3 linked regions of the Elephas maximus indicus genome follow. The protein of the gene in region 2 interacts with the protein of the main gene of each other region in a biochemical or structural test. Links are inferred from orthologs where the notes say so. Each region holds a gene or a part of one and is shown on either strand. Other genes may lie near its edges.

Evidence for each region. The genes of interacting proteins can lie anywhere in the genome.
Region 1: the proteins of RNF20 (region 2) and WAC form a complex in vitro, tested with the Homo sapiens proteins (2 studies listed by BioGRID). The link is inferred for Elephas maximus indicus from reciprocal best matches to the Homo sapiens genes RNF20 and WAC.
Region 3: of the proteins of RNF20 (region 2) and histone H2B type 1-B, one has a biochemical effect on the other in vitro, tested with the Homo sapiens proteins (2 studies listed by BioGRID, with this or other methods). The link is inferred for Elephas maximus indicus from reciprocal best matches to the Homo sapiens genes RNF20 and H2BC3.

Annotation. Positions count from the first base shown.
Region 1 is NC_064822.1:26,711,850-26,722,204, forward strand, and holds the start of WAC (WW domain-containing adapter protein with coiled-coil), read right to left. Parts: upstream 3,723-10,355; 5' UTR 3,683-3,722; coding exon of another isoform or gene 3,672-3,682; 5' UTR 3,670-3,671; coding exon 3,629-3,669; intron 3,273-3,628; coding exon 3,236-3,272; intron 1,736-3,235; coding exon 1,540-1,735; intron 1-1,539. Other genes in the region: uncharacterized protein LOC126074836, read left to right, coding at 3,672-3,682, 3,723-4,383, 4,611-4,781, 7,624-7,725.
Region 2 is NC_064827.1:51,276,833-51,287,858, reverse strand, and holds the start of RNF20 (E3 ubiquitin-protein ligase BRE1A), read right to left. Parts: upstream 5,279-11,026; 5' UTR 5,214-5,278; exon of another isoform or gene 5,161-5,213; intron 4,043-5,160; 5' UTR 4,017-4,042; coding exon 3,888-4,016; intron 1,352-3,887; exon of another isoform or gene 1,277-1,351; intron 1-1,276. UniProt on the Homo sapiens protein: Component of the RNF20/40 E3 ubiquitin-protein ligase complex that mediates monoubiquitination of 'Lys-120' of histone H2B (H2BK120ub1).
Region 3 is NC_064819.1:73,170,933-73,181,325, reverse strand, and holds histone H2B type 1-B, read left to right. Parts: upstream 1-7,006; 5' UTR 7,007-7,045; coding exon 7,046-7,426; 3' UTR 7,427-8,856; downstream 8,857-10,393. Other genes in the region: histone H3.1, read right to left, coding at 4,894-5,304; histone H2A type 1-D, read right to left, coding at 6,332-6,724. UniProt on the Homo sapiens protein: Core component of nucleosome. Nucleosomes wrap and compact DNA into chromatin, limiting DNA accessibility to the cellular machineries which require DNA as a template.

The DNA.
Region 1 (10,355 bases), on a different chromosome or scaffold from region 2:
TTGTGTGCATCAACGGACTTCTTCCCTGGCTTTGGAAATAAATGGAACGTAAGAGCCTATCTACAAGGAGATGAGGTGCCACATCCTGTTTTTTTTTTTTACAATCACCAAAACTATAAAAAATAAAGCTTTCTACCACATAAGCAGTACCCACCCTCCAAGAGTTTACATTTGGTACGTAACCCACTATAGAAAAGTTCGATAATAGTACCATCTTGGTCTATACATAGCGCCGTGGAAAATTCACCCCCCAAAATGAAAATGTTAATAGTTTAATTTTGCCAAAGAACTTCAAATGTTTTTAATAATCAAGCCCCACCCAGTAGTACTACTGAAAAATATGGTTTACCTGCTTAAGTAGTACAAAGTTACAGCAATATTCAACAGAGAAGAAATGAACTTTATTTTCCTCCCATCCAATAATCATCCAAATTATTCCTTCCCAATGCAATCTATGACCATTACTAATTTCCCCAACCTAGTAATTATGTAGTACATAGGTGATCAAATGTTTCTCATTACCTGATTACATTGAGTAAGGCTGATTTCTACACTAAAGAGGACCAGAAGGTGCAGGACATTAAAAAACAAAGTACTGAAAACTAGTTGCTAACAAGGAAGAAAGAAAGCCATATGGTACTGTTGAGTTTCCCTGGAAGTTTATAAAAGCACAATCTGTACATTTATCTCAAGCATTCTATCTATTAAGCAATGTAAGATCTAACTGTGGCGGAAGAGAACTGTCTTGATTATCTTAGTGAAAAATGGTTTGTTCTTTAATGTCTTTCTTAGACATGAAACCTGATTACTTTGGTAAATTTGGGGCAACTTAAGTCTGAAAATAGTTACCTAGAGTTGGATTTATTTACTTATTCTGTCTCCTACCACAAAGAACTTGAGGCATAGTAATAACTGAAGAGTGTTAGCAGCATGCAAAAGAAATAAGGCTAACCTAACCTTTAAAAAGTTGAATTGAAAGCTGTGTAAAAGTTAAATTAACAGGACCCTAGAAAATAAAATTTAAAATGTTTACAACAAAAACTCAGAAGATATTTTCTGAATCACAAATGGGCTTTTTAATCCATGAGCTGTTTTGAAAACATACTAAATTTTAAATTTTCTAACTTATTATAATTAGGAAACAGACTTGAACTCTTTAAAACAACTTCAAGCAGCAACAAGGGTCTCAAAATAAACTAAGCCAAATAAACTGAAATCTTTACTTAAAAGTAACTTACTTTCCTGGGAAAATGTTTTGTATTTCTCCCATTATTAATAAAGCATTTGGTAAACTATATATTCATAAATACACCCTCTTATTATCAGCCACTAAGAATCCAGTTTTTAGATACTCAAGTCAGCATCTTATTTCTACAATAACCTGTTAATGAATCATAATAGGTTAATAAAATTGAAATACTTTAATGACATAACCTCATGACAATGTCCTCAAACTTGAAATACTACTACCGCCTATAGGCCTATACAGCCATTGTTATAAGATAAATATGTGACAGTTTCAACAGGAAAGCTACTCACCACCATCCCTCTCTCTAACTCTGTGAGCATGCACGTTTTTGGCCTTAGCGTGACCTGTGCTGTCACTAAATTTGTTTTCAGGACTATCAGATCTCCGCAACATTTTATTTGGTGGTGAAGGATCTGTGGCGTCTCGCATCTTTTCATGTCTGTGATCACCACTACTGGGGTGACTCTTCGATGAGTATTTAAGTGCCTGTAAAACATCACACCCCCCCCAAAAAAGAAAGAATTGAAACTTTAAACTTTACTATTTTGTTTAATTGACATCATTAAGTTTTAAAAATTTACATAGGCAAAATTAAATTTTCCATTATCAGTTATGCTCTTAAATTATTAACACAAGCCACAAATGCTTGTTATTACAAAGCTCCTAATAAATATCATAACGGGGAAAAATCCACTCCATTATATCAAACACCTCAGCACACTGATTCCATATACATTTTCCTGGGAATTAATATTTCAAATTTTTTTGAAACCTTAATCCAAGGAAAACTAGAACCTAAATACTACTGTATTCAATTTCTGCTCTGCAACTGGTATGTTTAGACATGTACAAATCTACAAAAAAAAAATTTTTTTTAAAGGGGGGTAATAGTTCTCAGATGAAGTGTTTCAGGCCTAACTTACCTATTTCTGCAGGCTTGGAAAACAATTTCAAAGGGATAAAAATACTGGCCAAAATAAAACTGATACATGAGCAATATTTGTAAAAAAAAGTATAATAAAACTTCCCCACAATAATGGCTTAATTTCACTTGAACACATTTAAAGCATTGATATATGAGGTGTTTGCAATATTTAATATATAGAGGGCCAGACTCAATAGGGTTTAATCTTTGTCATATCAAAATGTTATGGACAATGTTTACACATCAGGGGACCTAGCGTTTCTAACTTGAGCTTTAACAACTCCTGTTTGCCAGTAACAGAACTTTCAGCTTAGAAAACTATTCTCTTATCCCTTAAGTGATCAGACTCAAAGTTATTTACAGAAGTTCTAGAGTTATGATAGTTGTCAGCCATGCATCAGATTTCTGCCCCAAACCTTGGGCAATTCTATCATAATTTTTAAAAACTTTACTTATGTAACACCTGCAGTAACATAACAAAAAAGAAACTACTTAGCAAGAGCCATCCACATTAGAATGAAATATTCAAGCATCCAAAGATCACAAATCTTACAGTAATAAAAAAGCAGTACCTTTCACCAGTTAAGCAATTATTTGCAACAAAATTAGAATGGGCAGAGAGAGTTGTTTACAAACAACTTAAGAGCTGAAAGGCAATTAGCTATCTCTTTCCAGGCCTTTCATCTAATTTTAACACCTTCCCATTAACTTTTAGTTCCTCAGTACAATAAATACAAATACTTCAAAAATCACCTAACTCCTCTTCACATCAATTCCTTTACACCCAAATAATCGAGCCAGGTCTTCCCGGTTGCAGATGATTTTTTTTTTTTTCCTAAAAACTTGTACTTCCTCCAGTCACCTGTCAAAATAAGTCAGTAAACCTTGCTGGAGAGCGCTAATATAACTAAACACAAAATTTTTGGAGGGCCCGCGGTGCTAGTTTCGGGTTTGGTGCACTGAAGGGCCTGTAGCGACTTCAGAAGCCTGCGCTCGAGTAGCAGCCTCTCCCCTCCCCCTCCGGCCCCCTCCCACCCTTCCACCCCGGCCACGGCTGGTACCTGGTAAGGCTGCGAGTCCCCCCTCCGGTCGTGACAGCTGAAAAACAGGAAGAGACACAGCGACATGAGACATCGCGGGAGGAGGAAGAAAAAACGGGTCCCCCCTCCACCCCTCCCGCGGCAGACCTAACAAGTGTACCCCGCGAGCAACACGCACACACACACTCACACCAGGACGGCGAAACGCTGCAACCCCGGCCCTCGGCTCCCCTCCACGCACACTCCCTCCTCGCTGCTCCCGCGGCTGCTCCTCCTCCCCAGCCCGATCCGGATCAGGGTTAACAACAAAAATGGCGGCCTGGCCAGCACCAGATAAGGAGGAACAGCCCCCCCTCCGCCGCCGCCGCCGCCCCCCGCTGCGGCCCGGCCCGAAAAGAAGAAAAGACAATTTACCCATCACTGAGTCTCTGCTGTTTCCTCGCATACATTACCATCAATGCCCGGCCTGTGAGTGTGTGTCGGGGAGGGGGGAGAGCGGCCGCGAGAGGCGGGCGGGCGGGCGGGCGGCAGTACCGGCACCACGGCCCGGCGCGCCCTCGGCGAGTCTCAGCACCTCCCCGTTACTGGCGCCGGCGCTCCCGGGCCATCTCCCTCCGCCGACACCACACTCACTCTTGGCCGGGGCAACGGCGCCAACTACACGGCGGCAGCGGCGAACCGGGGGGAGGGGGGCAAGAAGACGCGTCTGGCTCAGCGCCGCGGAAAGCGAATGCCTTCCCCGCCTTCTCCTCCTCCTGCTCCGCCGCCTCCTCCCCTCCTCCCCCCGCCGCCGCCGCTGCCTGGTCCTTCGCCTCTCCTCCTCCCGCCGCCGCCACCGCCGCTGGTGCCGCCGATACCGCTCCACCAACTACATCCGGGCAACTCGGATGCTGCCGCCTTCGGAAAACATCGGCAGTTTCCGCCGCGCCCGTCCTCTCCCACCCTCGGTCTTCCTCCCCGCCCAGCGCAGCTCCAGAACGGCGCCTTCGGCAAACCTCGGCTTGTGCCGGCCTTCCTCTTCCTCTGAGGCCTGCTTCGCCTCTTCACGGCCCGTCAGCTCTTTCCGGTTGCCGCTTCTTTTCCTCACGCGCGCGTCCGGCCACCCCTATTCCTGTTCAGGGCTAGCCCCGCTCAGGGACTTGCTCGAGGCCGGTCCCAGTGGCTCTGGGGTACGCAGGGGCCGCCTTCGGGAGGAGGACGGTGGGGCGCGAAGGAAGCCATCGCGGACTAAAGGAAGGCGGTTGCGCGTGCGCCCAGAAGCGAGGGGGTGGTGGGTGCCCTCCGGCGAGCTCTCGGGCCGCCCGCCCCCTCCCCTGCGGGCTCTGATCGCCGGGTCGTCTACAAGCCCCTAGTTAGGCGACAGGCGAGCAGTTACCGAGTAGCTCTCTGGTTGTAGTTCGCGGATCCTGCCCTCGGGAAAGCGGGGCGCCTGACCCGGCTCCGTCAGGGCTTCCCTGTGGGGGCCAGATCCTGGGCCTGCGCACCTGGCCCAGATGAGACGCTGAGCACGCTACCGGCCGTCAGCCGGGCAGGGGCTTCTCCGCGCGCGCCCGGCGGCGTTTTAGAAGTAAGTCACGCTCTCTTAACGAGAACTGCCGAATACAGAGGCGTTAGGGGATTTGTACCGAATGCGAGAAAGCTGTGTTCCTAGGATTCCTGAATTGAGGAGGGAGCGCCGCTCAGGGCAGTAAATTAAGAAATCGGATTAGGCTGGAGATTTATAAGGATGGGCTACTTGGGAAAAGCGTTCAGCTGTCGCATCCTCTTTCGATATTTTCCTTTCTCAGCATGGGGAATTCACCGTGCACGCCCCACCCTCTCCTTATTTGCCATTTTTTCGCTCTTCGAGTTCCTCGCTGAAATATTGGTGAAGTAAAATTCATTTGGAGGCTCTAGATGTGAGGCTTTGCATGTGAAGTATTAACAGGCCTGTTGCTGTCGAGTCCGACTGATAGCCGGCCCTCTAGCACAGACTAGAACTGCCCCATAGATATTCCAAGGCTGTAAATCTTTAAGAAAGCGGACTGCCCCATCTTTCTCCCTCAGAGCGCCTGGTGGGCTTTTTGATTAGCAACCAAATGCTTAACCGCTGTGCCACCAGGGCCCCTTTATGTCGGCATTTAAAAATAAAGTTGCTTTGGAGTCCACTCTGACTCATAGCCACCCTGTAGGCAGAGTAGAACCGCCCCATAGGGTTTCCGAGGAGCAGCTGGTGGATTGGAACTGTCCACCTTTTTCTTAGCAGCCTGAGCTCTTAACCACCCAAACCAAAACCCACTGCTGTCAAGTGTATTGACTTATAGCAACCCTATAGGACAGAGTAGAACTGCCCCATAGAGTTTCCGAGGAGTGCCTGGTGGATTTGAACTGCCAACCTCTTGGTTAGCAGCCATAGCACTTAACCACTATGCCACCAGGGTTTCCCTCTTAACCACAGGGCTACTTTATGTCAGATATTAGGGTATGCGAAATTAAATTGCTACAAATTTAATTTTGTGGGCTGCTGCAGTCCAGGAAGATCAAAGACTGCAGCCTTCAGTATGGATTGCATTTCGCCAAAAAGGAGACAAAAATCCTCACAACTCGACCAATAAGAAACAGGATAAACGGGGAAAATATTGAAGTTGTCAAGGATTACATTTTACTTGGATCCACAATCAACAGCCATGGAGGCAGCAGTCAAGAAATCAAAAGATGTATTGCATTGAGCAAATCTGCTGCAAAAGACCTCTTTAAAGTATTTAAAAGTAAAGATGTTACTTTGAAGACTAAGATGTGCCTAACCCAAGTCATGGTGTGTTCAATGGCCTCATATGCCTACAAAAGCTAGACAAAGCCAGAGAAGAATTGATACCTTTGAATTATGGTGTTGGCAAAGAATATTGAATATACCATGAACTGCCAGAACAACTAACCAATCTGTCTTGGAAGAAGTATGGCTAGAATGTTCCTTAGAAGTGAGGATGGGCAAGACTTTGTCTCATGTACTTTGGACATGTTGTTAGGAGGGACCATTCCCTGTAGAAGGACATCACGCTTGGGAAAATAGAGAGGGAAAAAGAGGAAGACCCTCAACGAGATGGATTGAAAAAATGGGCTGAAACAGCAGTGATTGTAAGGATGATATGGGACCAGGCATTGTTTCATTCTGTTTTACATAGGGTCACTATGAGTTGGAACCAACTTGTCCACACTTAACAACCCAGGCACAATAGCAACATTGGCATATGGTGGGAGGGGACATTAGGTATTTCAAAAAATTAAATTTTACTTTGGTGGTAGTGTTTTTTTTTCTTTTCTAAATTTTTCTGTTCTAAATTTTTTCTAAGGAAGTTGATTATATGGCATTAGTTTAATGAAAAACATTGTAATAAAGTAAATGTATAAACTAGGCATCATTAGGGGAAAAAAAGGCAAAGTAGGAAATCAAAAGAAAGGAAACCTCTCCAAAAAACAATATCAAAAAATAAATGATTTGTTTAGGCATGTGTATCTGACAGGTTGTTATTCCTAAGCCTAGTTAAAAGGTGGAATTATGGAGGGGAAAAGGGCCCCTGAAATCACAACCAGTTGAAAAAAATTAGTCTTATTTACCACAAGGTGCTCTCATAGCACACCGGTTAAGTGCTAGGCTGCTAAGGTTGGTGGCTGAACCCTCCACAGGAGAAAGGTGTGGCAAGTTCTCCTTGGAAACCCTATGGGGATAATTCCCAACCTTATAAGGTAGCTATGAGTCGGAATCCATTCAACAGCAAAGGTTATTTACCACATCCACTTGCTAAATGTAAAGATTGTACCAGTTTATAAGGACCAGTGAAAACCTATTTAATGCCCACTTAAGCTGTCAGCAATTAAGAAAACAAGTCAGTCTAAAATAACGCAAAAGGGGTAAAAAAAAAAAAAAAGAGTCTTAGTGCAACTTTCAGCACTTTTGTAACAAACTGAAGACAGGAGACATTAGAGTAAAAAACGGTAATATGTAAATCTTACGCAGGAGGCAGCGAAGTTATCTGATTTTTACATGATAAGCAAATGTCTATGCTGAAATTGAATTGCACTGCTGGAGCAAGAGCAGCAAGCTGGACTAAGCTATGGGGAGAAACAGTCCCAGGCAGTGTTTATCCTAAAGGACACTTCTAAATGGTACATCCATTTTTTAAAAGTTCATCTTGTTGCCCATTTTATTTAATTTTGGATTTTTTAAATAAGTTTTTTAATAATTTATATTGTGCTTTAAGTGAAAGTTTACAAATCCAGTCTGTCTCTCACATAAAAACTTATATACGCCTTGCTGCATACTCCCAATTACTCTCCCCCTGATGAGACAGCCCGCTCCCTCCCTCTGCTCTCTCTTTTCCTGTCCATTTCGCCAGCTTCTAACCAACTCTACTCTCTTATCTCCCCTCCAGGCAGGAGAAGCCAACATAGTCTCAAGTGTCCACCTGATCCAAGAAGCTCATGCCTCACCAGCATCCCTCTCCAACCCACTGTCCAATCCAATCCCTGTCTGAAGAGTTGGCTTTGGGAATGGTTCCTGTCCTGGGCCAACAGAAGGCCTGGGGGCCATGACCACCAGGGTCCTTCTAGTCTCAGTCAGACCATTAACTCTGGTCTTTTTATGAGAATTTGGGGTCTGCATCCCACTGCAATGTTCCTCCCTCAGGGGTTCTCTGTCAGGTCAGTCATTGGTTGTAGCTGGGCACCATCTAGTTCTTCTGGTCTCAGGATGATGCAGTCGCTGGTTCATGTGGCCTTTTCTGTCCCTTGGGCTCGTAATTACCTTGTGTCCTTGGTGTTCTTCATTCTCCTTTGATCCAGGTAGGTTGAGACCCATTGATGTATCTTAGATGGCCACTTGCTAGTGTTAAGACCCCAGACGCCACTCTTCAAAGTGGAACGCAGAATGTTTTCTTAGTAGGTATTATTAAGCCAACTGACTTAGATGTCCCCTGAAACCATGCTCCCCAAACCCCTGCCCCTGCTACTCTGGCCTATGAAGCATTCAGTTTATTCAGGAAACTTCTTTGCTTTTGGTTTATTCCAGTTGTGCTGACTTCCCCTGTATTCTGTGTTGTCTTTCCCTAAAGAGGGTGGGAGAGGGATATTCACTAATTAGATAGTAGATAAGAACTACCTAAAGTAGTTCTTATCTACTATCTAATTAGTGAATATCCCTCTCCCACCCTCCCTCCCTCCCCCCTCAATAACCACAAAAGAATGTTTTTTTCTCAGTTTAAACTGTTTCTCAAGTTCTTATAATAGTGGTCTTATACAATATTTGTCCTTTTGCAACTGACTAATTTCACTCAGCATAATGCCTTCCAGGTTCCTCCATGTTATAAAATGTTTCACAGATTCCTCACTGTTCTTTATCGATGCATAGTATTCCATTGTGTGAATAAACCATAATTTATCCATACATCCGTTGGTGGGCACCTTGGTTGCTCCTATCTTTTTGCTATTGTAAACAGTACTGCAATAAACATGGGTGTCCATATATCTGTTTGTGTAAAGGCTCTTATTTCTCTAGGATATATTCCGAGGAATGGGATTGCTGGATCGTATGGTAGTTCTATTATAGCTTTTTAAGAGAGTGCCAAATCTATTTCCAAAGTGGTTGTACCATTTTACATTCCCACCAGCAGTGTATAAGTGTTGCAGTCTCTCCACAACCTCTCCGACATTGATTATTTTGTGTTTTTTGGATTAATGTCAATCTTGTTGGAGTGAGATGAAATCTCATTGTACTTTTGATCTGCATTTCTCTAATGGCTAATGATCGTGAACATTTCCTCATGTATCTGTTAGCTACCTGCATCTCTTTAGTGAAGTGTCTCTTCATATCTTTTGCCCATTTTTTAATTGGGTTATTTATCTTTTTGTAGTTGAGTTTTTGCAGTATCATGTAGATTTTAGGGATCAGGCGCTGATCGGAAATGTCATAGCTAAAAACTTTTTCCCAGACTGTAGGTAGTCCTTTTACTCTTTTGGTGAAGTCTTTGGATGACCATAGGTGTTTGATTTTTAGGAGGTCCCAGTTATCTAGTTTTTCTTCTGCACTGTTAATAAAGTTCTGTATACTGTTCATGCCATGTATTAGGGCTCCTAGCATTGTCCCTATTTTTTCCTCCATGATCTTTATAGTTTTAGATTTTATATTTAGGTCTTTGATCCATTTTGAGCTAGTTTTTGTACATGGAATGAGGTATGGGTCTTGTTTCATTTTTTTTTTTGCAGATGGATATCCAGTTATGCCAGCACCATTTGTTAAACAGACTGTCTTTTCCCCAGTTAACTGACTTTGGGCCTTTGTCAAATATCAGCTGCTCATATGTGGATGGATTTATGTCTGAATTCTCAATTCTGTTCCATTGGTCTATGTATCTGTTGTACCAGTACCAGGCTCTATTTACTACTGTGGCAGTATAATAGGTTCTAAAATCAGGTAGAGTAAGGCCTCCCACTTTGCTCTTCTTTTTGAGTAAAGCTTTACTTATCTGGGGTTTCTTGCTCTTCCATATGAAGTTGGTGATTTGGTTCTCCATCTCATTAAAAAATGTCATTGGGATTTGGATCGAAATTGCATTGTATCTATAGATGGCTTTTGGTAGAACAGACATTTTTACAATATTAAGTCTTCTTATCCATGAGCAAAGTGTTTTTCCACTTACGTAAGTCTCATGTTTCTTGCAGTAATGTCTTATAGTTTTCTTTGTATAAGTCTTTTACATGTCTGGTAAGATTTATTCCTAAGTATTTTATCTTCTTGGGGGTTACTGTAAATAGCTTTGATTTTGGTGATTTCCTCTTCGATGTTCTTTTTGTCGGTGTACAGGAATCCAACTGATTTTTGTATGTTTATCTTGTATCCCGATACACTGCTGAACTCTTCTACTAGTTTCAGTAGTTTTCTTGAGGATTCCTTAGGGTTTTCTGTGTATAAGATCCTGACATCTGCAGATAGAGATACTTTTACTCCTTCCTTGCCAATATGGATGCCCTTTATTTCTTTATCTAGTCTAATTGCTCTGGATAAGACCTCCAACACAATGTTGAGTAAGAGTGGTGATTAAGGGCATCCTTGTCTGGTTCCCAGCCTCAGTGGGAATGCTTTCAGGCTCTCTCCATTTAGGGTGATGTT
Region 2 (11,026 bases):
GATTCCGACTTATAGCGACCCTACAGGTCAGAGTAGAACTGCCCCATAGAGTTTCCAAGGAACGCCTGCTAAGGAGTGGAAAATGGAGAAGGGCTTCTGGAGAATCAACTTCGACATCTAAAAGTCTAAATGACCTAGGACAAGGGGAAGAGGTACCACAGGCATTGGAAACTACAAGTGGAAAGGCTTATGTGCATACTTCATCTAGGAATTAATGAATACTTTAAGGTGAGAATTATTTATTAGGGCACCAATTTCTTGTTTCACTTTTCTTTCTTCCATTCTGGCTAAAACAACCTTGATAAATCAAAATAGTCCACAGCTTCCCAACAGTACCAGTTTATTAAGGCTATTGATAAACTATATCCTCAAACTTTTCTCTGAATACCACCTTCCTCCCTTCTTGCTTTAACTGAACCCTGAAACCCTCTAAAGTGGTGGGTGTTCTCTCCCACACCCCCTGAGCCCCTGTGCCTCAAAGCAACTGGTTGTTCTCCTTGTTCTCCACTGGCACTTACAGGCCACCCTCCTCCCTAAAACCTTTTAGCTTTGCTATGCATGCCACTGGTCTGTACCACCTGCCACCTGCCTTGTTTCAGTCATCTACAAATGTGTAGGTCACGTCCTAGCTTATATTACTTTCTCCAATACTACTCCTGTTATATTCTTACTAATTTCGATTCCCACAAAAGTGATCCTTCCAACATCTAGGATTATCAATTTGTTGACCTCCTCTCCTCCAAGGAGCTTATCCTCTACCTCCCTCACTCACCAACTCCCAGGTATTCTTCTTCTCACCAGTACCTGCACATTCTCTATCAACACAATTTCATGTTCCCCATTCTCCACAACTACCACTTATTTTTCCCGATCACTTCTCTTTAGTTTCCAGACTCCAACAATTCCCCAATTCCACCATGCTCGACGATCCATTGGTCTCACCTTCATTCCTCTCACTTCCTTCTTTACCAATCTTAAACTCCATGATGAGTCATTATAATCACCCCTTTTATATATCTCCACCTCTTTCCTTGCTCCTTCATCACATCTCTCTGATAAGAACCTCCAACTCTGGTAACACCCAACTCTCCAACTATGCCAAGATGACAACCATGCAGCTAAATGTGCACGGCGGCAACTGGAACAAATAAAGCACCGTGCTGATTAGTCTCACTTTAAACTCATGATCACAAACCTCAAGTGGGCCCTCAGAGCTGCCCAGCAGTCCTACTACATCTCTCTAGCCCATTCTCTCTTCAAGATGACTACTTCATACCTTCTCCTGTCTCTTCAAACCTCCAAAACTTCCTCCCTCATCCTCACTCTCAGACGAGTCTTGATTCTGATTTCACTGAAAAAAAAATAAAAGCAATCAGAAGACAGCGTCCACACCTACCTTCCACAGCCACAGCTACCAGCCTATGTATGAACCCATATCCCTCCTTCCTCACTCCTGCCTGATAAGAACTTGAACATTACATTACATTCCCTCTCTCCCATTCAAGGATATCACACCAGTAACTGTCTCCTCTTTCTGCCACATCATCAAGTTTATCCTTTCTACCAAATCATTACAATCAACAGATGAACAGGCTGTAGTATCTCCTACCTTAAAAAATCAACAAAAAATCTTCCCTCAGCCCCACATTCCTGTCTGGCTACTGCCCCATTTCTTTGCTCTACTTTACAGCAGTACTACTCTTTTCCCCAATTCCTCTCCTCTCATGTTGTCCTACATTGATTGCAATGAGGTTTCCACCCTCACCACTCTACCAGTACAGTTCTTGTTACGTCTCCGGTGAACTCTCCGTTGCCAAATTTAATGATCGTGTTAGTCCTCACCTTACTCCATCCATCAGCAGCACCTGATCAACTCCTTGAAACACTTTCTCCATTTGGCTTCCGGGACCACACTCTCTCTTGTTCTCCTCCTACCTCACTGGCCCCTCTTTTACTGTGTCTTCTCATCTATTTGATGTAAAAATGTTGCAGAGCCCTACAGCTCTGTCCTCAAGCCTCTTTCTATCTATGCTCATTCTGTAGGGAAAAACCTTGGTCTCTTGCATCTAAATATCACCTATGAAATAATGACTTCCAGACTTCTTTCCAGACTCCAGATTACTATATCCAACTGCTATCCACTCAGAAGTCTAACAGCTATCTCAAACTTACATTCCCAAAACCAAACTCATGATTCACCCTCCGTATCTTCCTAAAATCTCCCCTTCTCATATGGTCCCTAGCTCATTTACTGGAAATTGTTACTTGAAAATCCTCAGGTGATCTTGCCTCCTTTCCCTCACATGCTTTGTCCAATTCATCAGCAAATCCTGTCAACACTACCTCCACATGGGGTTCAAGTCAATCATCAAGGTCACTACAATACCCTCCTGTAGCAGACACTTTTGTGCCTCATGATATGACCTGTCGGCCCACCAGATTTCAGCACATGTGTGGCGGACAGCTCCACTCACACTGCCAGTGTTACCACTTCAACCACACGTTGGAGTCTCTCAGTTTTTCAGTCCTACAATCTCAGCTGGTTCACCACAGAACCCTGAAGGAGATGAGTTACTGCCTCCAAGGGCAACCTTCAAACAATGAGGGCAGAATCAGTGGATCATGCCCCAGCTTCCTACCCTTGAAGAGGTGGGGCAACAAGGGGAAGGGCAAAAAGGGGACCATCCTGCTAACTGGACTCCTGCTCATAACCCTTCCTCCTCTACATGTATTCTCCAAACCTAACTCAGAGCATGTCACTTCCCCACGTAATATCTTTCAGTGGCTCTTCAATGCCTTCTGGATGACGTCCAACCTGGGTGCTACGTGATTCCCTAGAGCCTTGCTTACCACAATAAACAGCACATCAAAACCAAAACCAAACTCGTTGCTGTCGAGTCGATCCTGACTCATAGCAACCCTGTAGGACACAGTAGAACTGCCCCACAGCACATATCCAACTCATCTTAACAGTGCATCCCCTTATATTATAATAGCACCACCTGACAAACTGAAGTTCAGGGCTGTCCTCAGTGTAAAGCACAGTGCCTGGCAAATAATAGATACTCCATAAATATTTATATTCATCAAGTGAATAAATGTTCTTTGGGTGCATGACGTGAGGCAATGCTAAGACAAAAATCACTCCCTGGCAGCAGTTTGGTGTAGCTGATCCACAGATGGCCTCAGAAATGGCACTTCAGTGACAATTTGCTCCGAATGTTCCTAGTATTCTTCCTGACTCTGAAAACAAAATCAGCTTCTCTAAGCCTCAGCCTCACAATCAAACAGAAAATAGATGTGGTTTTGTAAGCTATACAAACCTGAAGTGTCTTAACACCATATCCCCATGGCTGAGCCCCAAAACACAGAACTCTGATTGATATCAAAAACATTAGCTTCTGACATCTAATGGATATATAAAATTACAATGAGCTTGCAAAATAAAACCATCTAATGAAATTGTCAGGTCCATAAGGGCAAAAATAATAGCTATTTCACTTACCATTATATTCATATTATTTAGCCCAATAATAACTATTAATAGTTCACATTTACGGAGTACTTACTTTGTCAAAGGCAATGCTGTAAGCCTTTACATGGACTCTCATTTTATCCTCACAACAACCTAGTGACGTAGGTATCGTAATTACATTTTACAGACAAGGATACAGATGCACAGGAAAGATAATAAAAGGTCACACAGCTTAAAAGCGGGAGAGCTGAGAGTTAACCCCTGGCAGTCTGGCTTCAGACCCTCACCCTTCACCACACTCTTAACAACTGTGTTCTACTTCCTCTTATACCTGGCACTGTATTCTTCCATAAATTCTCAGTTTCAGATCACAACTGACTAGAAAAGTACAGTTAGGATTTTCACCACATACCGTTGAAGAGACACCTCCTAGCTTAATTGTTTCCACGGTGGTCCCTGAATCCTCAACAGCTGTCTTCTTCTCTGGAGGCGCAGATGTGCCAGGCTCTCCGGCTGCTCTTTTATTCCCAGTTCCTGACATCCTGGCACAAGATGACGGCTGCTTTCCTGGAGGGGAAAAAAAAAAAGCAGAAACTGTGGTAAGATATGCAGAGAGGCAATTAAAAACGTCCAAAAAGAGACCACCTATGATGCAAAAATTAGCAATTTTTCCAGGCAGCCTTTTAACCTACAACCGTTGATTTCAGACCAAGGAACACAATCTTTAATTTCCTCTTGGGAAAGAAGTAAATTGTGGAGTAAGAGTCAGGGCTGAATTATATGACCACAGATTTCTAAATAGACTGCTGATAAGTAAAACAATAGGCAAAGGATGAACAGACCAAGAAAAAATTTCAGGAAGTTATCCCTTACTTCCTTTGACTTCCCGAGATGTCAAAATCAGAAAGGTACAGTTTGTTTAGGATGGAAATTAACTGTATGATGTTGGAAGAACCAAAGAGCTGAAGAGATCTGGGAGATGTCTAGCAAGTCACTAATACTGGACAAGTCATTTATCATCTCTGAGCCTCAGTTTCCTAAACTAAAAATAACGGCATATACTTCCTATAGGGTCGCTATGAGTCGGAATCGACTCGACAGCACTGGGTTTGGGTTTGTTTCTTCCTATGCTTATGACAAGGATTGAGTGATATAATTACAGAAAGAACTCAACACCCTGCCAGACATGAAGTAAGCACTCAGAAATGCTAGCTCTCCTTTTTATGTGTGCAGTTTCTCTCCTACTTCCAAATTCTCTCCCCACGACTCTGTGCAAACCTAGGGAAGCTAGAATCCCCAGGAGCGAATCCCAATTCTACCTCTCAGGGAGCCTTGTTGCCTTCAAAGAGTGAGTTCTCCAAGAGCTTCAGTTCAATGAAGGCGAATAACAATTTCATCTGCCCTACCTTACCCGCAGGGTTTCGGAGGTCAAAGGAGGCGGAATGGATACTAAAGCACTTTGGTTACGTTAAGCAGCCGCCCTGCCATCACAGAGCCTATAGACCTGAGGTGGAGAGGAAACAGAGGAGCAGCGACTAGAGCCGCAATCCAACTCGAGAGGGGCCAGGAACCCTGCCACCGGCGCTGCCAATTGCAAGCCTGGGGAAGAGGAGCCCCGAAACCGCAGAGGCTGGAGATTCCCGAGGGCCCGCACAGTCCCGTCGCGCCCTCAGCCGTCATCTAACCTGGTTCCTTCAACTCGCGCCGCCCGGGAGCAGAACTCGCGGCAGTTACTCACCGAGGCCCGCGGCGCCCTCCCACCTCTCACCCCTGACCCGCGGGCGGTGACCGAGCGGAGCTTCCGGGGGGCGGGGCTAGAGAAAGAAGGGAAAGGAAAGAGGAAATCGCTTCAACCCGGCCCGGGCGGAAGTGACGCCACGCGGGGGCGCCGAGCGGCCAGGATAAGCGCGGCGTTATTAGCCAGGCTTGAGGCGGGCGGGGGAGGCTCTCTCTACGGTGAGAACTCTCGGTGTATCTGGGACTCGCCGAAGCTGGAGGGAGCGTCCCTGACTTTTGTAGGTTTGTTGGCCTTTAATACTGCGATCTTGGATTTTTCTGCTGAGTGAAAGTGCCTGATTCTTTTGCCTGTTCTTGGTTCTAGAGAGAGTCGTTCACACGCCTGATTGGCTGACGGTCCCGTCAATCTCCGGGTTGGCAAGAACTAAGCCTCAGACACCTCTGGGAAATGTTTCGCGGAACTCCTTGGTGCTGAAAAAGAGTTCTGGAGAAAATACAAGGGATTTGAAGGGTTTCCACGCTTTTAGATTTTTCTTACAGGGAACAATATCCGGCCTTGTCTACATAATAGAATCATTTGGGGAGCTTCGGCGCCCTGGTGGCGCGGTGGTTAAGCTCTTGGCTGCTAACCCAAGATTGATAGTTGGAATCCACCAGCTGCTCCTTGGAAACCCTAGGGGGCTGTTCTATTCTGTCCTATAGGGTCGCTATGAGTCGGAATTGACTGAACGAACTGATTTCTTGGTTCCTCTAGGGTGGGGCCGGAAACCCTGGTGGCATCATGGTTAAGAACTACAGCTGCTAACCAAAAGGTGGGCGGTTGGAACCCACCATCCAGTCCACCAGCTGCTCCTTGGGAACAGCATGTGGCGATTCTGCTCTGTCCTGTAGGGTCACTATGAGTCATAATGGACTGGACCCCAGTGGGTTTTAGGGTAGGGTCTGGATATTGACACTCTTTTAAAAAGCATCTTCAACAAACCCTACCCCCTCTCCCCTGTGATTCTAATATGTCTAATTCTCTTGTGCCATATTGAAACAAGAAATTGACCAGGAAAAAGAATCGCAAATCAAGAGGCAGTCTCTGATCTAAACACTAATCTATTTTAAGCTAATTAGCATTGATTTTTGTCAGTGACAAACAGCTGTTTTCTGTTCAATTAAATGTTTTATTCTTTAATGATAGAGAAGGTAATCAATCTAACCCTATCACTAAAGCTCTGTGCTTCGCAGAATTAAGAAAAACTGCCTAATTATATCAGATGAGGGCTCAAAGAAATTTGGGCATTATTGAAAAAAAGATCAAACCAAATTTACACTGGATTTCTGGTAGTGTGAAGACTTCCCTGTACCTACTGGGTCTTGACCTGTGGATGAAATAAGGTGAACAATGGGAAAAAAACGTGTTTCTGGTGCCTGGTACTAGAACACCATGCCTGGCCTGGAAAGAAGTAACTGGCTCCAAATGGACTTCACATTTCATTGGGTTTAACAGAGGCCTGAGAACCCATGTTTGGGAACCAACCTGCTGAAAAGCGTTGTATATGACAGTGACACCGGTTCTCTGATCTCCTGCTTTAACTAATCTACTCTTGGCAAGACTTACATTTACAACCACTGAATGGCAGAATTTTACTGCAGTGCCTCTACTAGCCTTGAGCTTGTAAACCAGAGCTTCACAGGCTGTTTTTGGCCAACAGATAATAAGGTTTGTTTGGTTTGGACACTGTTGGCCACCCTGGGTGGTTTAAAACACACACACAAAACTGACTTGTTAACATTTCAAATGTGGACATTTTACATAAAAATCCAGATTATCAATTTATTTTGAAATTTTTGAAGATCTAGCAACACTGGGCTTATAGTCTTGCCTGGCAACATTGCCTACAGCTGAATAGTGGCATCTGTTTTATTAATGGAGCATATTTCTCTGGTTTGCCATAATCCTCACTCCAGAAAAAAAAAACCAAACCCATTGCTGTTGAGTCAGTGCCGGCTCATAGGGACCCTGTAGGACCTTTTGGTTAGCAGCCAAGTTCTTTAACTGCTGCGCCACCTACTTATCAATTCTGACACTAAGGGTGAGTTTCGTTTGAATGCTCTCACCGTGCACTGTATAACGATAAACAATCATTGAGCATTGTTGGTTGCTGTCTTAGTTTCTTAGTGCTGCTGTAACAGAAACACCACAAGTGAGTAGTTTTGAAGAACAGAAATGTGTTTTCTCACAGGTTAGAAGACTAGAGTCCAAATTCAGGGCACTGGTTCTAAGGGAAGCCTCGCTGTCTATCGTCTTTGGGGTAAGATCTCATTCAGTTTCTGTAGACCCGGCATTCTCTGATGCCTTGACTGTCAGTTTGTGCTTATTTCTCTGTGCTTAATCTACTCATTTTATATATCAAAAGTGAGTAGGTTTGAGACAACCTACACTGACATGGTCTCATTAATGTAACAAAGAAACCCCGATTCATTCCTAAATGAGATTACATCCATACGTATCTGTCTGTGGAGTCCATTCCAGCTCTTGGCAACCCATGTGTGCAGAAGAGAACTGCTCTGTTAGGTTTTCAAGGCTGTGACTTTTCAGAAGCAGATCATCTGTCTTCTGAGGCACCTCTGAGAAGTTCAAACTCGACTTTTAGGCTAGTAGTCCAGCGCTTAACCATTTGTACCACCCAGGAGTTAGGAATTATAACACATGTTTTGGGAAGACACGTTCAGTCCATAACAGTTGCCTATATAGTATCCAAGGAGCCCTGGTGACACAGTGGTTAAGTGCTTGGCTGCTAACCTAAAGGTTGGCAGTTTGAACCCACTCAGCAGCTCCTTGGGAGAAAGACTTGTCTATCTGCTTCTGTAAAGATTACAGCCAAGAAAAAAATCCTATGGGGCAGTTCTACTCTGTCACATAGGATGGCTATGAGTTGGAATCGATGGCACACAATAACAACCCAGTGTCTATTCCACCCTTAACAGAACTAGGATTTTATTCGCTATTTAGTCATCTTGATTCTGTATGTCTTGGGGGAATCTGACTCCACCCCCATCTCCAAGGATTGTCTTAAAATAAGTAGTAAATCCCTTTCTCCAAGCCATGCTCCTAGGCTCAGTAAAGGGTTGTCTAGTCAGGGTGAATCTCTAGGAATATTAGGACTAAAACTATCTTCTTTTCTCTGAGTTTTTTGTGTGAGGCCTGAAACTGTTGCAGCCCCTTTGCCACCAGTTTGAGAACGGAGTCAACCCACAGAGGAAGGCAGAACCAAGAGAATCTCAGGGAAATGGAGCTAGTCAACTCAGGTCATCCCTAACTTCAACCCACACTTAAGGGTGCTAAGAAGATATACGGAGAGGGGGAAAAAAAACCTTTTTAGGACCCTTTAGCTCTTGCCATGTAGGTAACCATATTCTCCAGCTACTAGAGAGAACTATCTTCTCTGAAACCCCCACCCAGTCATTTGATACATTCACAGTAACCTGGCCTGATCCTAGAGAATTGGGACAAATGGAGTGGGGAGAGGAGGAAGCAGGAGACCTTTCTCACTGACTGCATTCCCCATTCTGACAAACCACCACCTGTTCATTATCTTAAGAGAAAAAGGAGTAACCCCAAAGAAGTGAGGTTTTCTCATACTCATAAACAGAGAACAGCATTAGCAATGCTAACAGAATACTTAGGATTTAGAATACTTTTGTTTAAAAGCTCTTATTGATCATCTCAGCAACATTATAATTTGAGTAACTATAATAAGTATAACAGTAATGCTTTTTTAAAAGTGATAAAACAGACTCAGAAGTTTCAAGTGATTGTTCCAAATTACTGAGCAAGTATTTGTCTTAATTAAAGGACCAAAGTTTTCAGATTTCCAGTCCTTCTATGTTAACTACACAATTCCGCCACAAGATGGCAGCAGGGCACATGCCTCTTATCCATTCCGCTTTATAGTTGGTGGTTGGAAAGTACTGTACTTACCAGTCAAGTCTTCAATTTAACTCTCTAAAACCTGGACAGCTGCTACTTAGGGTGGGCTTAATGCACTCAAATTAAAATATTTCTTTATTTTTATTTACCAAAACTTTGTCAAAAATACTTTTTCTATTCTTCCTGCGGGTGTTCAGCTGTAAAATTGTTATACCTCCATTCATTCAGACATTCCACAAACTCTGTATTGGGTTGTGTGCTATGCATAATTCTGGCAGCCCCTTATTTATCTCTTACTTAGACAGCTGCTGTATTTCATCTGGTGTGGCATCGCTTGTTAAACAGACACATACAGATTCCACAGAGTTTGCTCCAGACTTAGTTAGAATCTGCAGAGAAGGATCTGAAAATGGAAGTTCTTACTTTTGTAATTACACGTCCTACCTAGACAAGTCTGAAGAACACTACCCTAGGTGATGATGTCCAGCTGCGCCTGAGAGTGTCCTGCAGAAACCAGTCCCGTTTTTGTCCTCAGCTTCTCCTACTCTATAACCCTTCACCAGTGCCACATCTGCAATTCATCTTCACACCTCTGTCTCCCTCTCCCAGGATCACTTTGGCCACTACGTTGTGCCATGTCCCCTGTCCCCTGCTTTGTGTTTTCTAGGGACCAGGGTCATAGCTTAGGCCAGGAGCCACAGCAAGTCCTCTCATCCTCTGAGAATGGGGACAGGGAGTCCCAACAGGGTCTGTGCAAACATGAGAAGTGATATGTAGTCAAATTGTCAGGGGACCCTCACTTTATTTAAATCTCCCCTAAAAAGCTGCATTGTGTCTACATTCCAAAAAAAAAGAAAACAGTTGCCATTGAGTTGATTCCAACTCAGGGCAACCTCATGTGTTTGAGAGTGGAACAGCGTTCCATAAGGTTTTCAGTGGCCATGATCTTTCAGAAGTAGATCACAAGGCCTTTCTTCCAAGGCACCTGTGAATAGATTCAGACCACCAACCTAGAGTCACGCTCTGAATTTGGACTTCTAGACTCCCAAACTGTGAGAAAATAAATTTCTGTTCTTTTTTTCTTTGTTTGTTTTTTTATGTTTTTTTAATAATTTTTCTTGTGCTTTAAGTAAAAAAAAAAAATTTTTTTAAGTGTAAGTTTACAAATCAAGTCAGTCTCTCACACAAAAACCCATATACACCTTGCTACACACTCCCAATTACTCTCCCCCTAATGAGACAGCTCGCTCTCTCCCTCCACTCTGTCTTTTTGTGTCCATTTTGCCAGCTTCTAACCCCCTCCACCCTCTAATGTCCCCTCCAGGCAGGAGATGCCAACATAGTCTCAAGTGTCCGCCTGATCCGAGAAGCTCGCTCCTCACCAGCATCCCTCTCCAACCCATTGTCCAGTCCAATCCATGTCTGAAGAGTTGGCTTCGGTCCTGGGGCAACAGAAGATCTGGGGGCCATGACCACTGGGGTCCTTCTAGTCTCAGTCAGATCATTAAGTCAGGTCTTTTTATGAGAATTTGGGGTCTGCATCCCACTGCTCTCCTGCTCCCTCAAGGGTCCTCTGTTGTGTTCCCTGTCAGAGCAGTCCTCAGTTGTAGCTGGGCATCATCTAGTTCTGGTCTCAGGATGATGTAGTCGCTGGTTCATGTGGCCCTTTCTGTCTCTTGGGCTCTTAATCACCTTGTGTCCTTGGTGTTCTTCACTCTCCTTTGATCCAGGTGGGTTGAGACCAATTGATGCATCTTAGATAGCTGCTTGCTAGCATTTAAGACCCCAGACGCCACTCTTCAAAGTGGTATGCAGAATGTTTTCTTAATAGATTTTATTATGCCGATAGACTTAGATGTCCCCTGAAACCATGGTCCCCAGACCCCTGCCCCTGC
Region 3 (10,393 bases), on a different chromosome or scaffold from region 2:
TGGGTTAAGTTGCAGTACCAGATGGCCTAATTATGACAGTCCAAAGGTAATCACAATTAGTTTTATAATAATGACACCATACGCTTCTTATGTCCCTTTACTTTTTCAAATACTTTCAGGTTCATCCAGTCACTTGATCTTCACATCAACCCTATGAGTTAAATAGGGGAAGAATCAACCTAAGCAAAGAGAGTCAATTCTCTAATTTTCCTTCAAATCTCTTGGGAATGTCCAAGAGGTTGGGGTCTCAATCTGTTGGGTTTATATACTTTCAATTGATTCTAATATTGAATGTTTCCTGCAAGCATATTTACTTTAGATGCAAGATGTCCCTTACTTTCAAATTAAATGTACCCTTCAAAATCAATACTTGTACGTGTACGTTTGCATTCACACACATATATACATATATATTCACCCTTCATATATATACACACATATATATTCACCCTTATTGGAGCCCTGGTGATGTAGTGGTTAAGAGCTTAGCCGCTAACCAAAAGGTGGGCAGTTCAAATCCACCAGCTGCTCTTTGGAAACCCTATGGGGCAGTTCTCTGTCATACAGGGCAACAGGTGGGAGAGTTCATTCACAGAGAGCTAAAAATTATTACAAAAATCTCTAGATTTACCAGTTCTTTAGATACAATCTTCAACAATATTTTTGCTCAAATCTGTCCATGTTCTTTAATTTTGTTCCATTCACTTATAATTGTTCTGATAATTGACTGGCTTAAGATCACTGAGCCACAAAGTTGAATCTAAAAATTGGCTACTTAGAGAAAAACACAATTGATCCTTGTCTCAATTTTATTTAGTTTATACGACCTATACTTTAATTTGACAGTGTTAATTTTTATCATTTTCAATTTTTCATTCAGTTTTATAAAAAATATTAACAATGGCAAAAATAAACTTAAAGAATTGTCCAAACACTGCTAGGGAGCCAAAAATGGCAATGAATGCTCCATAAACTAAAGCGCTGACAGATAATTTAACCCCCAAAATGCTTTTTCATAGTGTATGAATTGTTCTAATTGACCATGTATGATAGAAGTGTGGATAATACAGAAATTTAGAGTTACTTGTAATGCATTACTCCAAACTTTATTTTTATTTTTTGTATATACACAGTGCTCTTGTGGCTGACAATTTAAATGTCCTATTACCTCCCTCCCCAGGCAAAGCTCCAGGTTTTTCTTCTGTTTTCCCTGAGGATATGTAGAAGGTGACTTTGTGGCTGAAATCCATGCCAGAGTTGAACAGGTCCAGTGCCAGACAGGATTACATCATTAGAGGATTTCAGAAGGGAGCAGGGATTTAGGGCACAGTGACAACAACAGCATTGAGAGGTAACATTTCTTGAGCACTTACAAGGTGCCAAACACTAGTGCTGAACACTCTACATTTATTTTCATACACTTTCTCGTCACAGCACTTTGAAACAGGTGCCGTTAACAAAGAACCAAACCCCTTTCTGTTGAGTTGATTCTGACTGACAGCGACCCTATAGGATAGAGTAGAACTGCCGCACAGTGTTTCCAAGGGGTGCAAGGCTCTAGGGAAGGCGACTGCCACATCTTTCTCCCCATGAGCTGCGAACCACTGACCTTTCTGTTTGCAGGCAATCACTTTAATTACTGCACCACCAGGGCTACTACTCCCATTTTAGAGATGAAGAAACTGAGGCTTGGTGATGGTAAGAAAAGTGCTCAAAGATGTAGAAAATAAGTTTCTGATCCTTGAGCCAGTGTGATTATCCACTATAAATACATGTTAGCACTGTTCTTTAGAAATATAAGGGGAGCCACGATATAATTTAAAAAATTTTAGTAGCTACATTTAAAAAAAACTAAAAAAGCAAAACAAAACTCATTTTAATCCACTTTAGTTGTAATATTATAAGTTTAGCTTGTTATCAATATGAAAATATTAATGAGTTTTTTTTTTAATTCTATATCTTTAAGATCTGGTCTGTATTTTATTCTTAAAGCACATCTTAATTTGGACTAGCAACATTTCAAGTGCTTAACAGCCACACATGTCTAGTGTCTTGGAGAAACCAGCTCAATAGTAAATAAATATACTTGTTCTGGAGCAGAATCTAGAAGTTTCTAGGGAAACAATTATTCTGACCTTGTTCTGAAGCCCTTGGAGCCCTGGTGGTGCAGTGGTTAAGCATTTGGCTGCTAACCAAAAGAAAGGCAGTTCGAATCCATCAACCGCTGCTTGGAAATCCTATGGGGCGGTTCTACTTTGTCCTATAGTGTCACTGTGAGTTGAAATCAACTTGAGGGCAATGGATTTGGTTTGGTTGTTTTTTTCCTGAAGCTCAGGGAGCGTCCCTAAGACCACTCTACCCATTTCACTTCACATCTGTTCTCTGGCCACACAACCGGATTTCGCCTAGGCTACGCCACCAGGCAAATGGTTTGCCCTCCGCTATTAATCTAAAGGTTGGCAGGTGGAACTCACTCATAGAAGAAAAGGCCCGGTGATCTGCTTCTTTTAAGACTACAGCCGAGAAAACCCTACGGAGCTGCTCTACTCTGCAGCACATTAGGTAACTATGAGTTCAGATCACGGGATGGTAACTAACAACTAGGTCATCACAGCCCCTTCCCATCTACCCTGATGCAGCCCTATGGGGTGTACTCCCACTTCTGAAATCGAGTTAGCCTTTAAGAGGAAACTCTAGATCTGATAAATCCCATGTTTGGGTAATCTTATTGATTAGAAGATATTAAGAGTGTGAGTGTGGCGTGAGATTGCCTGGGATTAAATCCTAGCGATGATATTTGCTAGTGGGATGACTGGCCAATTAACCAAAATATCTCAGGCTAAAGTTCCAGCTCTATAAAATGGATACACTGAGAGAATTTGCCATACAGTGTGTAGTAAGGATTATACATAATAATTCAGGCTTCGGATGGTACTTGACCCATGGAAAACTATCAAGGTTAGAGCTACTACACAGACTTCTCTAATGAATTCATCTCTATTATCTCACTTTTATGGTGACCTTTATAAAGGAAGGTCATTTTCAGGACAGAACGAGCCTATAAAACCCTGCAAAATTGTTATCCCAGGCAACTCATTTTAGCACTGAAGAGTTCAGGTTGCTTAGAGGTGACCTTATATCCTCCTCACTAATCTTTCTCCTCCTGATATCTCTGAGAATGGTACCACCAGCCATACCCAGTACCCAGAGCCTTCGAGTCGATTCCGACTCATAGCAATTCTATAGCCATAGCATCATGCAAAGCAGCGATACATCTGAGGGGTCTGGGAGTATCCCAGGCCAAAACAAAACAAAGCAAAACAAAAACAAACCCTTTGCCATCAAGTCGATTCTGACTCATAGTGACCCTACAGGACAGAGAAGAACTGGCCCCATAGGGTTTTCAAGGACCGGCTGGTGTATTCAAACTGCCGACCTTTTGGTTAAGCAGCCAAGCTGTTGACTACTGCACCATCAGGGTTCCAAAAATGCTCATAGTCAGCAGGAACCAAACCTGCACAGAGAAACCCCAATGGATTTCTAGCCCATCACCTTAACCACTAAGCCCCGACTACGCAGACACTCCAGACCAGAGATACTCAATTAATTCCTAGGGTGCTCACATCGAAGTGTATTGGACCAGACTGGCAGGGGGCAGAGAAACCCCATGTATAATTTTGAAAAGCATAGCCAGTTCTCATGAGTCAGAATTGACTCCATGGCACTGGGTTGGGGAGGGGTAATGGAAGCATCAGGCTCAGCAATTTTTTTTTTTTTCCCAAGGCCCTGGGAAAGGCCTTAACAGTGCGTTTACTTGGTCTTAATAGTTTTTGGGTTGTTTTTAATTTCGCAATAATAAGGTATTTTACTTACAGTTGTTTATGATGGTTGCTGATTTCCACTCAGTCTTCCCTTCCATTACAATTCACCTTGTGTCTGATTATATTGGAACGTTGGTGAGTGTATTTGGGATTTGTGTAAGAGAAAATTTAGTTGGAGATACGTTTAGTTTGGGGTTAATGAGGTAAGTGATTTATAGGCGTGCTCCTATATAGCTCAGTTTTTGTTAACTAAACTGATGAAAGAATGGCTTCAAAGAAAACTACTATTTGCTGGGATACCTGGAATGCTCACAAGAAGATGCAGGGCAAGATGTCACAGCAAGACATCCACATACCCGTTGCGCCCCCCACTGGGAGTAAGTGCTTAGTGCACAGGAGAATTAAGATTTAAAATATACTGACCCTGTAGCTAATCTGTGAAGAGTTCTCCCGATTTTTTTCATTCACATAGGAAAGAAGCTTGATACAGGATTTCCTAAATTGGAAAAAAATCCTGAAAATTACTGGACACCCAATAATGTTTTAAAACTGAAACTTCTAAATTGTCAATAACAGAAAAGAAGCTGTGATCAAACATGCTAGGAAATATCTTCCCATTGTCCATGTAGAAAATACAAATTAATTTTGAAGACATAATCTGAGTATACAGACAAAAATACAGAAAAACACTGCGGTGTATTCATAAAATATCCTCTTTCTGAATATTGTGGATACGAACTTTTTATAAATTGGAATGTGAACTTTCCATCCTAAGGGAACACTAGATTTTACAAACTTTAAAAGCCCTAGGGTGTCCCCGCCAATCTACTTCAGCGAGACAGAAGCTCTGCAGTTTAATACCTCGTCAGCCATCAAACCTTAACAGATAGTGGCCTCTTTTAAAAAGAAACGGTTGTCTTTGACTCAGCTGAATTAAGCTTTCAGTGGGCATTTACATACATACAGGTGGCTAGTAAGCAAAATAGGTAAATTAAGAGTACAACCACTTTTAAGTGAAAGTGTGGGTGGCTCTGAAAAGAGCCTTTTTTAAGTCAAAGGGAAAAGTGGCAATTTACGCCCTCTCCCCGCGGATGCGGCGGGCCAGCTGGATGTCCTTGGGCATGATGGTGACGCGCTTGGCGTGGATGGCGCACAGGTTGGTGTCCTCAAACAGCCCCACCAGGTAGGCCTCGCACGCCTCCTGCAGCGCCATGACGGCCGAGCTCTGGAAGCGCAGGTCGGTCTTGAAGTCCTGCGCGATCTCGCGCACCAGCCGCTGGAAAGGCAGCTTGCGGATCAGCAGCTCGGTGGACTTCTGGTAGCGCCTGATCTCGCGCAGCGCCACGGTGCCGGGCCGGTAGCGGTGAGGCTTCTTCACGCCGCCGGTGGCCGGGGCGCTCTTGCGGGCAGCTTTGGTGGCCAGCTGCTTGCGGGGTGCCTTGCCGCCGGTGGACTTGCGGGCTGTCTGCTTGGTACGAGCCATCACGGAGAGACTGAAGACAAACAAAAAGTCTAGCAAACTGGTGGTAAAATTGCCTTTAAATATAGTTTGAAGCGACCTGATTGGCTTTATGAAGTTTCAAAAGTTCCGCGCGATAAAACCATTGGCTGATGGCTGACTGGTGATTGGTTAATAACTAGAGACTGTGATTGGATGAACTATTCCACTTCATCATCCGGGATTCCTTTTGTTAATCTCAGATATTTGTAGGGGATTAATTTTCTAAAGTTCTAGTTCTGCCCGTCTCCATGTACTGTGTGCATGAGGAACCCTTTAGGGATCTTGTTAAAATGTAAATTCTGATTCCATATATCTGAATGGGACATGAGATCATGAATCCTTAACATGCTTGCAGGTTATGTCAATACTGGTGGTCCCCACATATTAAGTACAGTTTTATCGTCTGCACTTAACCGTCTGTTTTCTTTTCCAGTTAAATTATCGCGAGTCGCCTGGACTGACACAAGCCCTGGTCATTGTAGCTCCCCTAATCCTGAGTTTGTGAAACCTTTGTGATCTACATGTCAATGTACCTGGGTGGAATATCTGGCGAAGCAGTTAAAGCGACGGTTTCAGATTTGGCGGGTACACACAGAATAGCAACAAATTGTCACTGGTTAATGTTGGACAAGATTATTTTTCTAGATTCAGAATTTGAGGAACTAACACTGCTTTATTATTGGTTAAGGACGTGGTGAATTTCCTTACTTCGTTTTTCGAGCCCCAACATTTCTCGGCCCCGCCTGTTTTGTAAAACACCTTATTTTGCTTGTTAGGTTTCTTTTTATACAAAATATTCTGAACGACCTACTTTCCTGGTGCTCTTTAAACTAATGTATCTTATTAGTTACGACACAGGCTTTTCTTATGTTACTTTTAAACACTACGTAGTTTAGGAATATACAAACACAGAGTTATCAGCTTCTCTCTTGAAAGTGTGGATGGCTCTGAAAAGAGCCTTTTGTCTAGTTGAGAACAAGGAAGTGTTTTTACTGCTTATTTGTGGGCTTCACTTGCCCTTAGCCTTATGGTGACTCTCGGTTTTCTTGGGCAGCAGCACGGCCTGGATGTTGGGCAGGACGCCACCCTGCGCGATGGTGACTTTGCCCAGCAGCTTGTTGAGCTCCTCGTCGTTGCGGATGGCCAGTTGCAAGTGGCGCGGGATAATACGTGTCTTCTTGTTGTCGCGGGCCGCGTTGCCCGCCAGCTCCAGGATCTCGGCCGTCAGGTACTCCAGCACCGCCGCCAGGTACACCGGTGCGCCGGCTCCGACTCGCTCGGAGTAGTTTCCCTTACGGAGCAAGCGGTGCACTCTGCCCACCGGGAACTGCAAACCGGCGCGGGAGGACCGAGTTTTGGCTTTGGCGCGAGCCTTACCACCCTGCTTTCCCCGTCCAGACATCGCCCTTTACACTAAAACCAACACGCAAATTGAAAGTGTTTTAAGCTGGAAAAACGCACTTATAGGCAATGCAGGGCTATGAATGTACCCTGCCTGATTGGTTAAAATAGACAGCCTTGTTTTGTCCAATAGGAAAAGAAAGTGTGTATTGCTTATTTGCATAAACACCGTACTTGGCAAAGTGTACTACTATCCAATCAGAGGTGAGAGTTCGTAAACCCTCATTTGAATTACGCAACTATAAAGAGAGGGCTCCAGGATTTTTCCTAACTTCGGTGGTGAAGAGGTTGTTAAGCGGTTCAGTTCCAGTTCTGAACAGTTATGCCTGAGCCATCTAAGTCTGCACCAGCTCCTAAAAAGGGGTCTAAGAAAGCTATAACTAAGGCGCAGAAAAAGGATGGTAAAAAGCGCAAGCGCAGCCGCAAGGAAAGTTACTCTATCTACGTTTATAAGGTGTTGAAGCAGGTCCATCCTGACACCGGGATCTCATCCAAGGCGATGGGTATTATGAACTCCTTCGTCAACGACATCTTCGAACGCATTGCTGGGGAAGCTTCTCGCCTGGCGCATTACAACAAGCGCTCGACCATCACGTCCAGGGAGATCCAGACGGCCGTGCGCCTGCTGCTGCCCGGGGAGCTGGCCAAGCACGCGGTGTCCGAGGGCACCAAGGCCGTCACCAAGTACACCAGCTCTAAATAGACGGGCCTGCGTAGGTTTTTCTTAATTCAAAGGCTCTTTTCAGAGCCACCTACTTTCTCGGAAGAGAGCTGTAATTGCGATCATTGTGCATAAGAGAGAAAAGCTGAGGTACTTAAAGACCAAGTTAAACTGACAAATTTTTTCTGCTGCTCTAGCTCCCTCCGAAAAAGCTGTTTTAACTTTATTAAACTCGTATTTTCAGTGTTTGATGCAATCCTTGGGATTTTTATTTATCTATACTCGAGAACGCTCTTTCTCTCCTGCGTCCCAGCTCTTTCCTGCGTCCCAGCACTTTCCTAGTGGTGACTGGAAGGTCCCTGGAGAATAACGGAGTGGTTAAGACGTTTCCGTGCGTAGTTACCCCTGAGGGCGTGGTTAGCCAGGCTCTTGCCCCAAGAGTGAGGAGGAGGAGGATGTCGGGTCGTTTTCGCCCGAAACATGAACTCAAGATGTCAGACGTGGCTGCCTGCATTGGGGCACAGGCAAGGGAGATCTCCGGTTGTTTTTCTGGGAAATTCTGGAGCGTCTACTCGACCTCTTTGCCATTGCACAGCCGTTTAAAAAAATTTTTTTTAATCGAATGCAAGAAATCCGGACCTCATTTCATGTATCACTTACCGTTAGGGGCTTGTCACCAGAATAGGGCGGGATAATGGCTAGAGCTCCGGGAGGACAAAGGGTTTGAATTTCCCTCTATTTCCCATCTGGCGCCACCTTGTGTCTGACTGGGAAGATCTCAGTTGGAGGGGCCCACTGCCGGTTTTTCTTGTAGGCTCTTTAGCAAGAATCTAGAACCTCAAAAGTACCGATTTTGAGTGCAGGGTACGGGGAAGGTAGGAAGACAGGGAAAAAAGACAGCTGCCAATTAAAAGGAAAAGTATGTTCAGTCTGTTTACCAGTCTCTTATGTAGATGACATACAGCAGTGTCTTTGGAGAACAAAGCAAAATTTAAAGAATTTCTCAAACAGGATCTTTTAAAGGAAAGTAAAAATCACCTTCTCCAGGATCCCAGGGAAGATGTCAGCCTCAGTATGAGAAGCACTTCCTATCCCAGTGTATGCAAGATATTATGAGACATTTGTCTTGAAAATGAATAATGCTTGTTTTTTTTTACATTATAACAATGGTTGCCCGCCCCCCAAAACAAGAAGTAGTGAACTCAGGCTGCAGTTTAAGGATCACTGTCCTGTAGGTTCCTCCCTTGGAAGGCTGACACGTAGGTAGTAATATTGTATCTTAACATCTGTTGAGGAAATATAATTTAAAAAATCTGCAAACTCAGAAAAGATCACAAAGTTGGAAGAGAAAGAACACAATTTTATTATTGAATAAGCATTAAGCCAGGAGGGGATGCATCACAGGGAATCTGCTTTAGATATTGCAAAGACAAAGAAATCTCACCCCTCTATGTGGCTAAGTGGATGCAACCTGTCTTAGTTATCTAGTGCTGCTAAAACAGAAATACCTTAAGTGGTTGGCTTTAGCAAAGAGAAATTTATTCTCTGACGGTTTAGGAGGCTAGAAGTCTAAATTCAGGCCACCAGGTCTAGGGGAAGGTGCTCTATTTCTGTCGCCTCTGGGGGAAGGTCCTTGTCATCAATCTTCCCATGGTCTAGGAATTTCTCAGCACGAGTACCCCAGGATCCAAAGAAAGCACTCTGCTCCCTATGCTTTTTTCATGGTGGCATGAGGTCCCACTCCTCTCTGCTCAATTCTCTCTTTTATACCTCAAAAGAGATTGACTCAAGATACAACCTAATCCTAAAGATTTAGTTCTGTCTTGTTAATATAACTGCTTCTAATCCTGCCTCGTTAATATCATAGACGTTAAGATTTACAACACATAGGATAATCATATGAGATCACAAAATGGTGGACAATTGCGCAGTACTGGGAATCATGGCCTAACCAAATTGATACACATTTTGGGGGACACAGTTCATTCCATAACACAACCCATTACATACATGTTCTCAAGATAATCAATTAATAATGTCTCATATCTTTACGGTTGGAGGTAGGTTTGTAGTTTGGAGCTAAGTCTGCAGGCATGCTCATCTCCTCCCAGAAAAATGGGAGATGGGAGCACTATCTTTCTTGACATTTACATTTCAAAGAAATGGCCCACAGGTCCCTTTGGAAATATTCCTGAGTTCTGAAATTGGCAAGAAGCTTATTTAATATTTGATTTTCCACATTTTCAAAATAATCTCTTGAGGTAGGGATTATTTTCTCTCCAATTTGTCCTTCATAAGTTTTGCCTGCTTGCTTTCTTTTGTTCTTTTATTTGTTTCTCTCTTTCTCCTTTCAAATAAGAAACTGAGAATGTTTTATCTAAAACTTGTAACCAAAAAGATCAGCAGTTAGAATCTACCAGGAGATCCTTGGAAACCCTATAGAGCAGTTCTACCCTGTCCTGTAGGATCACTATGAGCTGGAATCAACTTGAGGGCAATGGGTTTTTTGGTGTTATACCCTTAGTTGAAATGCTGGTGGCGTAGTGGTTAAGTGCTACGGCAGCTAACTAAAGGGTCAGCAGTTCAAATCCACCAGGCGCTCCTTGGAAACTCTATGGGGGCAGTTCTACTCCATCCTATAGGGTCGCTATGAGTCGGAATCGACTCGACGGCACTGGGGTTTGGGGACCCTTAGTTGACAAGCCCAAATTACATTCCAGGCTTAAACTCAAAACTAGGCCTTTCTGCCATCGCTGTTTTATCTGGCTGATCTTTACAAGTGAATTAAGAAAAAAAAAAAAAAAATCACGTACCTGGGCTGGCTGGTAGGCCTTGGGTCTATGAGGGGAGATGTGAGAAGCCAGAAATTTTCATATTTACAAATGTCAGTTGATTCTGATGAGGTTCCAACTTTCGATACAGCAAGGACAGTGGACAAGTCCATCAGCTTGAGGGAAGTACTAAAAAGGTTTATGTACCCTTTTCCTAGTTAACTAACACCCACATTTT